3 linked regions of the Drosophila melanogaster genome follow. The protein of the gene in region 2 interacts with the protein of the main gene of each other region in a pairwise test. Each region holds a gene or a part of one and is shown on either strand. Other genes may lie near its edges. The genes, in order: dati, Snp and RhoBTB.

Region 1 (4,781 bases), on a different chromosome or scaffold from region 2:
CTATGCCAAGAAAGAAAAGTATTAGTGGTCCGAAGGTCGGCTTATCTCTTTTGCATTGCACTGCTGGACATCTTGAAAAACTAGCCATCATTTTTATATTTGCTTGAGAGTTAGGATGCTAAAAGGAAAGCTAAAAGTGTTTCCGTACTATCAGGACAGTTTGAGGTAAGCGTGACCGGGTTTGACGTGCGTAATTGAGCCAACCTAACAACACGTTTTCTGAGCACAAGTTCTCAGCTTAACCAATTGAGTCAAGTGAGTTTGAACATTTGGTATGCTCGGTCTGTCCTTGTATTTAGCTGTACACTGTAAGCCCATTTTTAAGACCGCGGGACCCTAGGTTTTGCCTAAAGCTCATGCGTAGCTGTCGACCGATTGAACCTTAGATTATGTAGATATGTATGCGGATTGACTAGTTGTATTTAGACTGACTTGATAGAATTTCGGGTTTATGATCTCTTTTATGAGATGATGTGAATGCGACTTCATGGTAGCCTTGTCTACTATCTCACCAAAAGGCGTCAAAGTCCTCTTCGATCACTATCCAAGATAGCAGCCAAATACCAAAAGATACTATGTACTATACTATAAGGTATTTATCAATCATGTACGACTGCTGTAAAATATATCTATGGGAATAGCACATAATTTTCAACAAAAAAATAGTGGGTTTCCTGTAATTTTTTTTTACTGAGCATGTGTATACTTTTAAAACAATATTCAAATTTGCAAGAAGATATTTATGTACATACATATACCCTAGGTATCCGCTTTTTTCCACGCCACGAATTGTTGCGAATGCATGCATGTATGTGTGTACATAAATAAATATAATATTAAAGAAAATCGATAGAGGTCGATTCCCACAGACCAAAGCACAGACCAAAATCGATTGAGCAGCAGAGGTGGCGGCTAACGTTACCTAAATATGTACATATGTATATGCTGCAGCATACACGGCTGCACATTCATTTTGAAAAGGTAGGGTTCAATAGTGTTTTCCGGATGCCTATGTGCTTTGCGAGCCGCCCACTTGATTGTGTACGTGTTTGTACATAAGAACTTCACATAAGCATTAAAATGCATACTGCCGCACCGTGACGAAGACCAGAAATGCAGCCATATCGCACATACATGCACAAGTGCAGCGCAAAACTCGAGCTAGACAGAAACAGTTGGCTGGCTGTCCGGCGGCGGAAGGGAGATGGCTGAACGTGGACAGAAACAGGAGCTGGGCAGGGGTAGTAACAGGGCCAGGAGGTGCCAGAGAGGCCTTGAAGTAGACATTAAATCATGCACAAATTTGCATTCCACCGACCAGAACGGACTGTGCTGTGGTTGCAGCAAGACAGCAGGGAGGAGGTCGGTTTGCTGGGTGGTTGCAGTGGTCATCACGCTGCAACGCTGCCATAAGGGATGTTACTGCGGAAGTGCAGCGCTGACGGGACCCGACGACCAACGACGAGTGCAACAGCCCCCCTCCGCCTGCTTGTTTGAGAGTTATCAGTTGGAGAGGGCGGCGTAGGGGATGATGCAACGAAAACGCATATGAAAGCGGCATGGGCCAGACATACATATATGTTGTACACTGTACGCACACAGACTCACGTGGAGTGAATGGGCGCTGGGCAACAATAGCATGCAGCTTAATACACTTGAAAAAAAGACCAGAAAGCCATATCCCGCGCCTTAGACGGAGAAGGGAACGGGCAGGGCTAGACAGAGACTAGAGGCCTCATCAGGTCATCCCTACAAGGTGTAATTGAGGAGCAATAAGAATATCAATAAGCTCTCCGAGCTTAAGAATTGTAATTCAGGAATTGGTGCTTTATTGAAATTTTTTTATTCAATTTTTTTTTGAGTGTAGAGCTGCAACTGCAAATGCTGAAACAACTGCCACTGCAACTGCAGTTACCAACAGCGCCGGCGCTGGCACAGGTTCCCTGTCCGAGTGCAAGGATCTGAATCCACATCCGCCGCTTTCGCTGTTGTTGTCGCTCCCGCTGCTGTCACTTTTTGTTTAACACACAATTTTTATCTTATAATAAGCACACCGCTGCTGCCAGCTATTTCCCCAATTCGGCACCCGGCTGTCTCCATCCCAGTCTCCAGCTTGGGAAGCAACGTATGCCGAGGCGATGATTTTTATTCTCAATTATTTTGGATGCGGCATTCAGAAACGCAATATTCCATGGAGTAGAACAACCGACTGCGGATCGTCCTGACCTCGCGGATCATTTTTATTTTATCAAATGTGCTTAAACCAGATATAAAATGATTGTGGACTGTGCTAAAAACTAAAAACTAACCAAATAATAGAGTTGTTTGATAAAAAAAAAAAAACAAAGCACAAATGAATTGCTTGGCAATGCTTACTTGGACGATTTCATTTGTGTTTTACTGAATTCAGATGAAAATATGAAAACAATATTTCTTTTAATTTAATTTCAGATCATCATAATTTTAACAAACACAATAGACCAAAAATCGTTTTTAACAATAAAGAAGAATCCGTAACTAAACGATCAAATCGACAAACCTAACTCAACCCAGCCATCTTTCAGTTTTAAACGCAATAGAACAGATGCATTAATTAACTAAGTTTTCTACACCTATTACCAAAAAGGAAGAACCACATCAACATTAACTTCATCACCAATCCGAAAAATAACATCTAAACCAATATAACCTAACATAAAAACAGACCAACGAGAAAACCCATTTAAAAATTACTTTTTAGACAAATGAAAAATATAATTTACAACAAAATTGAAATCAAAAGTACAAAACGACATTAATGAATGCGCAAAAGAATTATAAATTTAATACAATATAAAACTGTATGTTTTAGTAACGATTACGTGAAGATTTAAGTCCAAACTAGGCTACTAATCGAAAATATGATTACGTGAAGATTTAAGTCCAAACTAGGCTACTAATCGAAAATATGATTTATATGATTTACACAAATGTGTACATAACCATATAGTCATTTAAATTGCATATATAGTCTCTTAATACTAATTTAAACAGTATATAATAAAACATTTAGATTTTCTACAGCTACAAAATACACTCCCTGAATGATTACCGAAGACACACTGACACCGGAACAGACAGTTTGAACTATCACATACCCTACAGCTAGCCCTAGCATAACCATACGTAACTATACACCAAGTCGCTTATTATTTTTTAATGATAAGAGCAATACTCAAAAAATAATAGTATAGATACATGATTAAGCGTGAAGAGATAGTGGTTATTATAGTAAACAGTACGTAAAATAGTATATAAAATTAAAGATATTGCTACTATAAATAATCAAAATATCATTCTTCGGTAATATAATGGACGATATTTTAAACTAAATATTCGTTTAAGTTACAAATGTGAACCTCGAATTATTTTAAAATTGGAATATATCATATTATATTTTTATATGTATATTAAATTATGAGACGTCACAATGCGTACATATGTAGGTATTTCCGAACAATACAAATCTGGGCATCAAAATAGTAGATCGTATCGGGTAACAAATTGTGATTCAAACGTTTACAAAATTTTTAAATTTATATGTAAACAAATTCAAATAGAAACTGCATCAATCTAACTCCATGTTTTGGGATAAATAGGCGATAAATGAATTTTATAACCAATATATCGCGACACCGTAACGTGTGCCTTATTCCGGCCTTAAGTTTAAATGACTTTTAATAATACATCAAAAACCTAATTCAAGTATATATTAAGCCCACGGACATTCAACTGCAAAGCCGTCGCACGTAAAAAGTCAATAGGATATAGGATTTTCTAATATAGGACCATTACCTGATTGGTATGCCGCCCATCACCTGCGACGTAACCGTCATCGTACTGTAATCGCCTGAGAATATGTTTGTTTTCAAGGTAATTATTGATCCTAACTTCCATGTTAATATCGAATCCCTACAGTCACAATGGCGATCATACCTTATATACACACATATATAAACATATGCGTGCATATATATACATACGTGTAACAAGAACAAAGTTTCCGTTTTCCGGCTTGACCGTTATTCCGAGGTGGCACGATTTGGCAACTAAGAGCCATTCCAAAGAGAGCATTATTATCCGCTGAGCAAAGATGCTGTTTCTTGGTAAACCCGAAGACGGGACGAAGATATTTTGCCGAAGGCCTTAGAGCTGAGTCCTGAAACGAAGACGTTTGGCTTACTTTGCGCCAGCGACGATGGCGACAGCGATGACTCGACTTCAGGCCGACTCCACTTTGCGTGCAAGTTCTATTTCTAAACGAGACGTGTCTGAACCCCCAGCAACAGTCATATTTATACTTGTCCGAGGCGGCGGCCAAATTAGTTTTTCTATGACTCGCGGGCCGCCAGGTTATCTGTAGTTGTTTGCTGGGAGCGACTTCCAAGTCTCAGCCGTAATCGTAACCGTAATCGAGGCCGTGCATATAGACAGTCACTGTATTCTTCCAACAAAAAAAACCTCGTAAAGAGGTAAAAGCAACCGAAATACGCACCAAACCACCAATTATACAAATGGCAGCAAGATAACATTTCGCTCCTTTTCGAACACTTGCATACGCGACACATTGCTTATTATTGGTTTTATTCACAAATTTTGGTTTTTTTATGCTTTGAACTTTAGTTTCTTTTCTTTAAAAAGTGATTAAAACAGTTTGGTGACTATGTTCCATCCCCAATAATAACAAACAATTTATAAGTGTCCATGTGCGACGCTAGGATATTCAAGAATAAGTTTCCTAA
Region 2 (4,781 bases):
ATTTGTTATGCAATTAATTTGAGTGGCAAAAAGTGAGGAACTTGGTTTGAAGGCGCCAAATGGAGAAATGGCTGATGGCGAACGGCGGCGGGTGCTGGATGTGAAGTCTGGTAAACAAGTTTTGCATAATTTCCATAAAATATTTCATAAACAACTTGAAAAATGGAAAAAAAGCTATGCTATGCAGCTGGAGACTGAGGCGAGGGAAGTCCGAAAAGAAAGCAAGGCAAACTCGGAGCGGTAATTAAAAAGTTCACAAAAGAGTCGGGCACCAGGGACTTTGGAAAATTGCTACCAAGAAGAATTCCGCCGATGACAAGGCGTAAAACTTGCCGATTGAATGCGAAATGTGGCCCGGGCAGCCGGACGGACTCCTACCCATTGCCAATTCAAATAAATTAAAAAGGAACTGCGACTCGTTGCCAAGTTTGTCACCGCAGAAAAATAATACGGAAAAAATGCTCTCTATATACATATATAATACATATATATAGAAGATAGATATTAAAATATGTAGATGTGGAAAAACAGCGCAGTGGAGGCTTGAAAGGAACCGCAAACTGCGGTCGCTGTGGCTTCTCTGGTCAGTGGTCGTTACTTTTGCACTCTTGTTGTTATTTTTGCGGTGCTTGTCCTGCCAGCACCGCATCCTGGCATCCTTGCATACTTACATCCTTTTCGCCTTGCAGAGTGCCACTGCTCATTATTGTCGGCAATGTCCAGGCATCGGAAATTGGAAAAGTTTCCTGCCTTCGTGACAATCCACACTTTCGCTCACACGTTCTATGAATATTCAATGCAGTCATAGATTATATTCAATTGATATAATGACGTAAATAATAGTTGACAGGGTCAAGTACAGGATGAATTTATTTTTAAGAGATTTATAAATAAACATCAAACGAAATGCTCGAGAGTTGCTAAATATTTACTACAATTTACAATGTTTTGCTAAACAGCAAAGCTCTCTCTCTCCCTCTCTTTGCCATTTCTGCCCCTCTTTTAACCGTTTTCTCTTTGGGACATCAGCAGGGGTGCTTTTGAAACGGTTTGGATTTATCTGAGCGGTTGAAAGTGGGGAAAAGCGATGTTTTCCATGTAACAAACAATACGGTTCAAATGAATATAACTACAACCGTGAGATTTAACTACTATCGGCAATATCCCGACGCAACCAATCGACCAAAGCATCACGGGCGCATTCCGCATCAGCATCCAGGCAGAACAACTTGCAGATGTCCTGCAGCCAGTTGCCAATGATGTAGCGCTTAATGCACGGCATTACACCCAACTCCCGAAACACTTTAAGGCAATAAATTTGCAGGCGGGGATTATCCGTCGTCGAAGTCATGAGACGACCCACATAACACGGCAGTTGGGTGAACTCCCTGCTGCGCCACAATGCCCGCTTGCTATGGAGCCCATTGAGCAGGGCCAAAGCCGTATATTCCCAGTTCTCCACCTTCTGGCGAGGCAGCAACATTCGCGGATTCTCATCGGGCTGGGCAAAGACGTCGTAAAGCAGCTTTACACCATCCACGGCATCGAAACGCCGCTGACCCTCAGCACAGCAGAGTAGCAGCGCAAATGCCTTGGTGTTCATGTCCCAGAAGTTGGACAAGCGGTTTAGGATCCTCGAGTGCAGCAGCTCGAAGAGGCCCAGCTCGATGCCCCGATCGGGTGCCACTTCCAGCATGTCACACAGGTGATGCCACAAATGCAACGGGAATTGCGGACGGCATGGATCCTGTCTGAAGATCTCGGCTAAGGCGGAAAAGTTTTCAGGATCCTCCAGGAATATACCCAGAACTAGGAAAAAATATAACACCGTTAAATCCAATGAAGTGCATGCAGAGCTCACCTTTTGGCTTGCATGTCAAATTTCGCAATATCTCTGAAGCCAATTCATCCTTAATAGGCTCTTGGTTCTTAATGATTTTATAAAACTCCACCCTTAAGCACTTGCGGTTGGCTATATTTTCGGCTCCATCCAAATTGCGGGATAGTATATCTTTAAGAAATAAAAGCTTATTCTAAGAATTCACACAACCTTCAACTTACTATAAATCCTTAGATACATCTCCACCTCCCGGTGCTCCTCCTTGTGATGCTTCAATCTCATACGCATAAAGGCATTCTTCAACCTATTGGTAGGATAGAAACTGGATGATATCAAAAAAAAAAAACTCCTCAATGCAGACAACCCACTTTCTAACAAGGTCCATTTCAATGATAGCTCTTTGGGCATTCAGTGGATTTAGAACGAATTCCGACAACGATACGACTGCCTTCCAATGGGTCAGCCTAACATCACTATCCAGTTCTTTGAGCAATTTGGGCAGTGCAAACCAGCCGTAGGCCAGTTCAGCACGATCCGCCAGGTGCGTCGAGGTCGAATTGCAGCAGAGCGGCATACACTTGCAAATATTCCGTTTCTCCATATGATGCGTCCACTCTGTAATCCATTTTTTTTATGATTATCCTTCGCTGATTATATATCGCAACTAAATTACCCGTAGTCTGCAAGCTGTTTATGGAGGTCGGCTTCATCACATCCTTGATTTCGTGTTGCAGAAAGTGATTGCGATATCTCGCTAGCTGCTCCCACATTTTGGTTTAATGGTTTGTTGTTATTATAATGAGAAAATACAATACGTGTCAAATGCCAGAACTTTTTTCAAAAATCAACTTCTATTCTACGTTTCAACTTAACATTTCTGTTAGGAAAACTATGTTTCTGTACTGTAAAGCGCCATTGCGGCTGAGAACGTAACCCAATTGGTTGGAAGCTCAACTGCGTGTTGAATATTATGAAAAGGTTCGAAGCTCGGATGCAACAGCTGTTCGTCGCCTGAAATCGATATATCGCAATTTGGTTGATATATTTCGCCGATTCAATGCCGCTGCATTTGTGAACGGACGCCGAGCGAGTTACTACCGAATATTAGATGCGGACTGCAAGCGCAGCTATACGAGAATATACCGACAGGCACGCAAAATATGCAAATACCAGGAGTGCATCTCTATTGACCGGTCAAATACTCGGCTTGGCGGATAGTGCATTTGCAGTTGCAATTTCATCAATCGCCAAATGCACTTGACTGAAAGGCTGTACAAAAAAACAAAGAGAAAAAACCCAGTGTGCGTGCGGGAATATGTAAAAAAAAAACGAGTTAAATAAATAGCTAAATAACAAGCAGAAAGCAGAACGTAAGTATCGAAAAAGCGCAGTGTTTTTGTTGTGCCGGCTGAAATAAATTCGATTGTGTGCGCGCGCGTTTGTTTGTGTGTCGGCATGTGCGTGTGAGTGAGCAGACAACAAAAGGAATTCGGCTCGCTCAACTTCTTCCTAGTTTACCGTTACTTGCACTGCCAAAATCGCAAAAAATAAGGGGAATAGGGAGATAAATAAATAAGCCGACGAATTTCGAATAGCATAAATAGTAGCTCCTGCCAAAAAAAAAAAGAAGAAAAATCAGAGAAACGTCAGTCAAATCGAAAAACAGAAATGGCCTTGATAAAACTAGCAAGGTGAGTTTTTATTCTGTTTTCTCGCTAATATTACCTATAAAGTATGTGTATAGGAATTTTCCCGTTGAAAGTTGTAGTCCACCTTCTCTTTCTTTGCTTTTCCACTTAACAAACCGCAATTAAGTTGGCCAGGGGCGGAGTTTCCACCGAAAGGGGGTTTTTCCAGCACTTGCCCACGTAAATTGATTTTCTGTGGCCCCGTCATCCTGTCGTGCTGACCTGAACTGACCCCATTTTTCATTTCCATTTTCCGACAAAAGAACAAAGTCCGCAGCCTGAAAAATCCGGCCCTGGCCTTTTTTTTTTATTGTTGCCTCTTGGTCAACAGCAAAGCGCTTGAGGCCGTGTAATAACTTTCGGGCAAATATTTATTTCCCAGCAACGAGTTGTTGATATTGAAGTTGGTCAATGCACTTTGGCGCCCCTGAAACGCACTTCAAATATCGCTAAGTGTAATCAGGGACTCGGAAAAACGATGATAACAATAATTAAGCATATTGCAGAATCGTAGATATACATACAATTATATTTATGTATTTCAATTGTATGATAATATGATATACTTAATACCAGTACATTTACATTTACAAAAATAAACATCCTTGTGCTTAGATCCAAATTAATTTCGCATGAAATATTTTCGAAATCTTCATAATACCAGTTTCGCAACCAGATTAAACTACTTTTTAGAACACACAACGAACAATCGAATCTAATTTGAACAAGATCAATTCATAAACTTAAGAACACAGCGAACGTAGGATTATGATAATCTGAATTTCAAATGAACTGCTAATAATAGGAAAACTTACGTGAGGTCTGTGCAATTAATTCTGTTATTGTCTAACAACTAACAATGTATTTGTTTACCTTCTCGATTTCGTTTGTTGACTTTTCCAGCATGTACAACAACTAAACAAACTAGCTATCTGGCTATCGAATTTCCAACGCCATTATATCCACTATCCCCTTCACTATAGACTCCGATATTTATTTATTTGCTGTTTACGTTCGCAAAAAAAAAACCAAACAGTCGCAAATCACACATGATTAAATTAATCAAGCGGCGCACAGGCGTTAAGTTTGCGATCAGTTGATTGATGGCCCGCTGACTGATTGGCCGCGTGCTCAGCAATCAGAATTGGGACTATCCCATACGCCACATACACTTTGCCCGGAGGATCCGAGCTGCACTTGCTGCACTGTGAGTGCCCCACTTCTAATGGTCCGCACATAGTTGGAGCAGTGAT
Region 3 (4,781 bases), on a different chromosome or scaffold from region 2:
GTGAAAGCCACTCAAAACCGGCTGAAACCTGCTAGCTATGCATACCGAACAAAGGTTCCCTTCTCGCCGAAATACGAGAGATAGTTCTCGTCGCGATACATGTAGCGCAGGTCGTTCTTGCAGCCAACTAGAATGACGGGAACATCCGGACAAAAGCGGCGAATTTCCGGATACCACATCATCTTGCAGTTGCGCAGGGAAATCGGACTGGCAATGGAAAAGCACAGCAGCACCACATCGGATCTGTAGGTCAAGAAGGCATCTTATTGATTCGTATGGCGAAAATGCTGCTACATGAGCTCTACACACCTGCCGTATGCGAAGCGCCGATCCTTGTCGTGGTCACCAAATGTGTCCCATAGGCGAAGTGAGACATTCACTCCATCGACCACCTCCCATGATCGCTCGAGTACCTTTAATGTATATGGATTCGGTTAAATGCAATAACTATGACTCTTGAGAGAATGGTAACCCACATCCTTATATATGCGATACTGGTCAATGGCCCACACGGTCGGCACGTGCGTAGAGAGGAGCTGAGATAGCGAGACGTGTTTGTTGCAGGCCCTCGCGCAGATCAGTCGCGTCTTGCCCACGGCCGTGTCCCCCACCAGGACGCACTTCACTAGCTCTTGATGCGGCTGCTCGTTGTCCATTTTGGGCATGCACAAATAGCAGAACCAGCTTATGGAATCTGAAATGAAAATAGTATTGGATTTTTGTGTGATTTAATAAAATGTGGTCTCTCCTGAGGAAAACATACATAAATGAAAATATTGAAAATAAAATAAACTGCTGACACCCCTTCTAATATAAATAAGTGAACTACGTAGAATAGCTGCCTTAATGTTTTTCAGTTCTGATAAGCAGATGCTAAATTCTCGACTAACAATCGACCTGCTAATTACTAAGTTACACAAAGTGTCGTCTGCATTAACGTTTTGTGTGAAGGCAAAATGGTTTCATCACGTGATTAATTTGATTTTAATCTAGATACCTAAGTGCTTCCCAAAATAGAAATACATAGTTTGAAATAATCTACGCACTGGGAAAATTCACTTCTACGTTCAGTTATACGTAAAGCCAGAATAACTGATCTACGCCAATAGGCAATTTTGTTTGTTTACTCGCTGCGCACTGTGAAAATAACTATAGTGAAATCAGATACCAGCTTCGTATCATTTACTTAGAAATCTATTGGATCCCGCAAACGGAGGCTATAAAACCAGCCAATTCATTGACCCCCACTTGATCCACTTGTCGCGGAGGAAGTTGGAGTAAGTACCTCGGATACGGAGCGATAAGCTCGCTCTCTCTCTTTGAACCTCTAATTGAACTTAATTGGGCTGCACTAAAAATATATCTGCCTTCAATCCTCCGGTCGCAATGAGCACACTTCTTCCTGCGTGGCCCACGCTTCATGGCAATCCATTGTCCGATCTTCTCGACGAGCTGCAGTCTGTCTATTTTGGGACGCGCTTTAAACCCAAAACAATAACCATGCAATTGAAAGTACTTCAAGTGGTCGCCAGAAGCGATCGTTGTTCTCCACAGGAAAGTCTTTTGTTCGTGCGAAGACTTTAAGTTACTGTCAATATTGTGGATCGTTGACCTCTGGAATACATGGCAATCGGTTCCACTTTTGCTTTGATTTTCTATAATTTATGTGTTCAATCTATTTAGAGCCATTTGAATTGACTTTATGAAGGTTAAAGAGGGAAGAATATTCTTCAAATATTGAAAAATTAATGTCTGATATAACTACTATAAAATACCGTTTTTATTTTTATTATTTCCTTGTAGAAATATTTTTAAAATATATTATTTAAGTGCCCAGTCTTAAGCAAAGTGAAGCAAAAACAAAGAAACAAAGAAAGAAGACGTTGTGAAGGTAAACAACTGTTAGTTTTTGAAGATATCAGGTATTTTGAAAATGGAAAGATCGTATTTTTTAGTTTTTAAAAGGTATGTTCTTAGTTTTCATTGTAAAATATTTGCACCAACCATAATCTTGGGAAATAAAAACAAAGTTTATTTAGGGACTGGTTCCAATTTATTTCTCATGCGAGGTGTGAACCTGTGGTTTAATTAGACATTTTGATTCGCGAGAATTCGCAGAACACGCCAGCATATTAGCATTATTAACAAACTCTGCGCTGTTTTGCCATGTCTGGGAAGTCTCCTTTCTTCAATTTTGCCAGCTTATTGATTTTCTCGTGCCATTGCAAAACGGCCACAAATACCGTTACCAAACCACACACACATTCAGACTCGCACACAAGGAGGCACAGAAGGGACTTTTAGGAGGGGATCTTGAAGTTCGGACTCGACATTCCGGCAAACTTGACCCATTTAGGGGAGAAAAATCGTTGAACACTTGCACTTTTTCTCGAGGAAAACGCATGTTGGTGGGTAAACAATTAAAACCTGATTAGAACCTAATTCTTCGACTGCTGGCCGAAGGGGAGAGCACAGAATTCCCGAACTCATAAATCTCCGCGGACGTAGCACTGCAGCACTCACCTCTGAAAACGCCTGATCCCACGGATTGCACGAATTGCACGGATTTGCCTCAATGTTCTTACTTTTGCGTATTGCACTTATCAACACGCACACCAAAGCACGGCATTTTACAACAATTTGCATTTATTTCTGCACCCACACACCGATGGCGACGCAGTTTGTGGTTCGCAAACACGCGAAATCTTTACGGCTGGCACAAGTTTAACATCGCTGCGAGCTGGTTGCCGACGGATGGCTGCGGATGAGCCAGTGCTCGCTGACCAGGTGCACTATAAATGAAATTAAAAAATAATAAATTGCAGTTACAGCCCGCAATTCTTCTACGCGCTTTGACGGCAACCGGCCAGTGTTGGAAAACGGCGGCGGTTGGGCGCGGAGCACTGCCAGATTGACGGAGAACGGGAATTCACGGAATATTTATTTTTATAATGACTGTTATCAGGGTTGCCCAATATTTATTGTATGGTCGTTGGAAAAATTTCAAGCATTTGAAATACATTTTGAAATCGCCATCTATCCTAGGTAAGGTGAATATGCAGCTTACTTTAGTCCAAAGTTACATTAGAACTATTAAAAATCATCACTTTAAACTTATTAAGTCTTTCGTATTTGAAAATATGGCCTACCACTTTGTAAAATTTCTCCAATTGGGAATTTCAAATCTGGAACCACTCACAAAATAAACGATCTGGCAACATATTAAACTAGTTCTGCGTGCGCGGTGAGTTGGCAGCTCTGCGAACAGATGATTGTTTGCTATTTTAGTTGTTGCGAAACTAGTTAGAATTTATTTTTCGGTCCAAAAAGCGATTAAAATTGATTGAACGTGTAACCGACCGGCTTGGAAATCTACTCCTCCCACTCTAAGATTTCTTGTGCGCGCTACGTAAAGCCGGAGTAGCGTCGTCAAGAGTATTTCACAAACTCAATGTATCTTACGTGCAGAAAATCGATTTTTGCCTTAACAGCGGTTTTTGGTCGACGGTTGGCAGCAATTAAACAAATTTCCGCTAACGGGCACCACTAAATCGCATTTATTTCGCACAGGTCAAGTGCGTTGAGGGCCAGCATTTCAGTAACACATCGAACGATTGGCACGCTTATAAAACCCAAGATGACAATAGCCGAAAGCTCGCAAAAGTCCGCAACTAGGAAGCCAGACAGCATGGAGCCCATATTGAGGTAAGTGCACGTTACGCATCTTAGAGGTCGTCGAAAGGCAATGGTTCGTCGTTTATAGGCTGAACAACATTGAAAAGTCGCTGCAGGACACACGCGACTACCGCGGATTGCAACTAGAAAATGGACTAAAGGTCCTGCTCATCAGCGATCCCAACACAGATGTCTCGGCGGCAGCGCTGTCCGTGCAAGTGGGGTAAATAAGATCAAATCTTCACTCAATGTTTGTTTTTAATGAGTATACCCATGGCAGCCACATGTCTGATCCCACGAACCTGCCTGGATTGGCCCACTTTTGCGAGCACATGCTGTTCCTCGGCACCGAGAAGTATCCGCATGAGAATGGCTACACCACATACCTTTCGCAGAGCGGCGGAAGCAGCAACGCCGCCACCTATCCCCTGATGACCAAGTACCACTTTCACGTGGCGCCGGACAAGTTAGATGGAGCCTTAGATCGCTTCGCGCAGTTCTTCATAGCCCCCTTGTTCACGCCCAGTGCAACTGAGCGGGAAATCAATGCGGTATGTGAAAGCATTCATTAAAATTTCTGACAGAAATAGGACGCTGTCATTGCAGGTAAACTCTGAGCACGAGAAAAACCTGCCCAGCGATCTGTGGCGCATCAAGCAGGTGAACCGCCACCTGGCAAAGCCTGACCATGCCTACAGCAAGTTCGGCAGCGGCAACAAGACCACCCTATCCGAAATACCCAAGTCCAAGAACATTGATGTGCGGGATGAGCTGCTAAAGTTTCACAAGCAGTGGTACTCCGCCAACATAATGTGCCTGGCTGTCATTGGAAAAGGTTTGTTTTAGTATAGCCGTTTCTGCCAGCAAGTAATCAATCTCTGACAGAATCGCTGGACGAACTGGAGGGCATGGTATTGGAGAAGTTCTCCGAAATAGAGAACAAAAACGTCAAGGTTCCAGGTTGGCCACGCCACCCCTACGCCGAGGAGCGCTATGGACAAAAGGTGAAAATAGTGCCTATCAAAGACATCCGATCGCTGACGATAAGCTTTACCACAGACGATTTGACGCAGTTCTACAAGTCAGGCGTAAGTTTAAGGTACCAC

The links.
Region 1: the proteins of Snp (region 2) and dati interact in a two-hybrid assay, tested with the Drosophila melanogaster proteins (one large-scale study listed by BioGRID).
Region 3: the proteins of Snp (region 2) and RhoBTB interact in a two-hybrid assay, tested with the Drosophila melanogaster proteins (one large-scale study listed by BioGRID).

What each region holds. Positions count from the first base shown.
Region 1 is NC_004353.4:392,993-397,773, reverse strand, and holds the start of dati (datilografo), read left to right. Parts: upstream 1-2,168; 5' UTR 2,169-3,912; intron 3,913-4,363; exon of another isoform or gene 4,364-4,511; intron 4,512-4,781.
Region 2 is NT_033778.4:22,058,051-22,062,831, forward strand, and holds the start of Snp (snipper), read left to right. Parts: upstream 1-2,899; 5' UTR 2,900-3,508; coding exon 3,509-3,531; intron 3,532-4,781. Other genes in the region: CG13501 (uncharacterized protein), read right to left, coding at 1,145-1,809, 1,862-2,011, 2,062-2,144, 2,209-2,455, 2,514-2,610. UniProt on the Drosophila melanogaster protein: A broad-specificity exonuclease, capable of degrading both structure-specific DNA and RNA targets without sequence specificity in vitro. Requires two to five unpaired nucleotides in the 3' region for efficient binding and nuclease activity.
Region 3 is NT_037436.4:20,374,344-20,379,124, reverse strand, and holds the start of RhoBTB (Rho-related BTB domain containing), read right to left. Parts: upstream 2,884-4,781; 5' UTR 2,524-2,883; intron 1,384-2,523; exon of another isoform or gene 1,286-1,383; intron 695-1,285; 5' UTR 666-694; coding exon 477-665; intron 414-476; coding exon 310-413; intron 244-309; coding exon 46-243; intron 1-45. Other genes in the region: Ide (insulin degrading metalloproteinase), read left to right, coding at 3,638-3,705, 3,764-3,898, 3,956-4,226, 4,282-4,510, 4,561-4,763.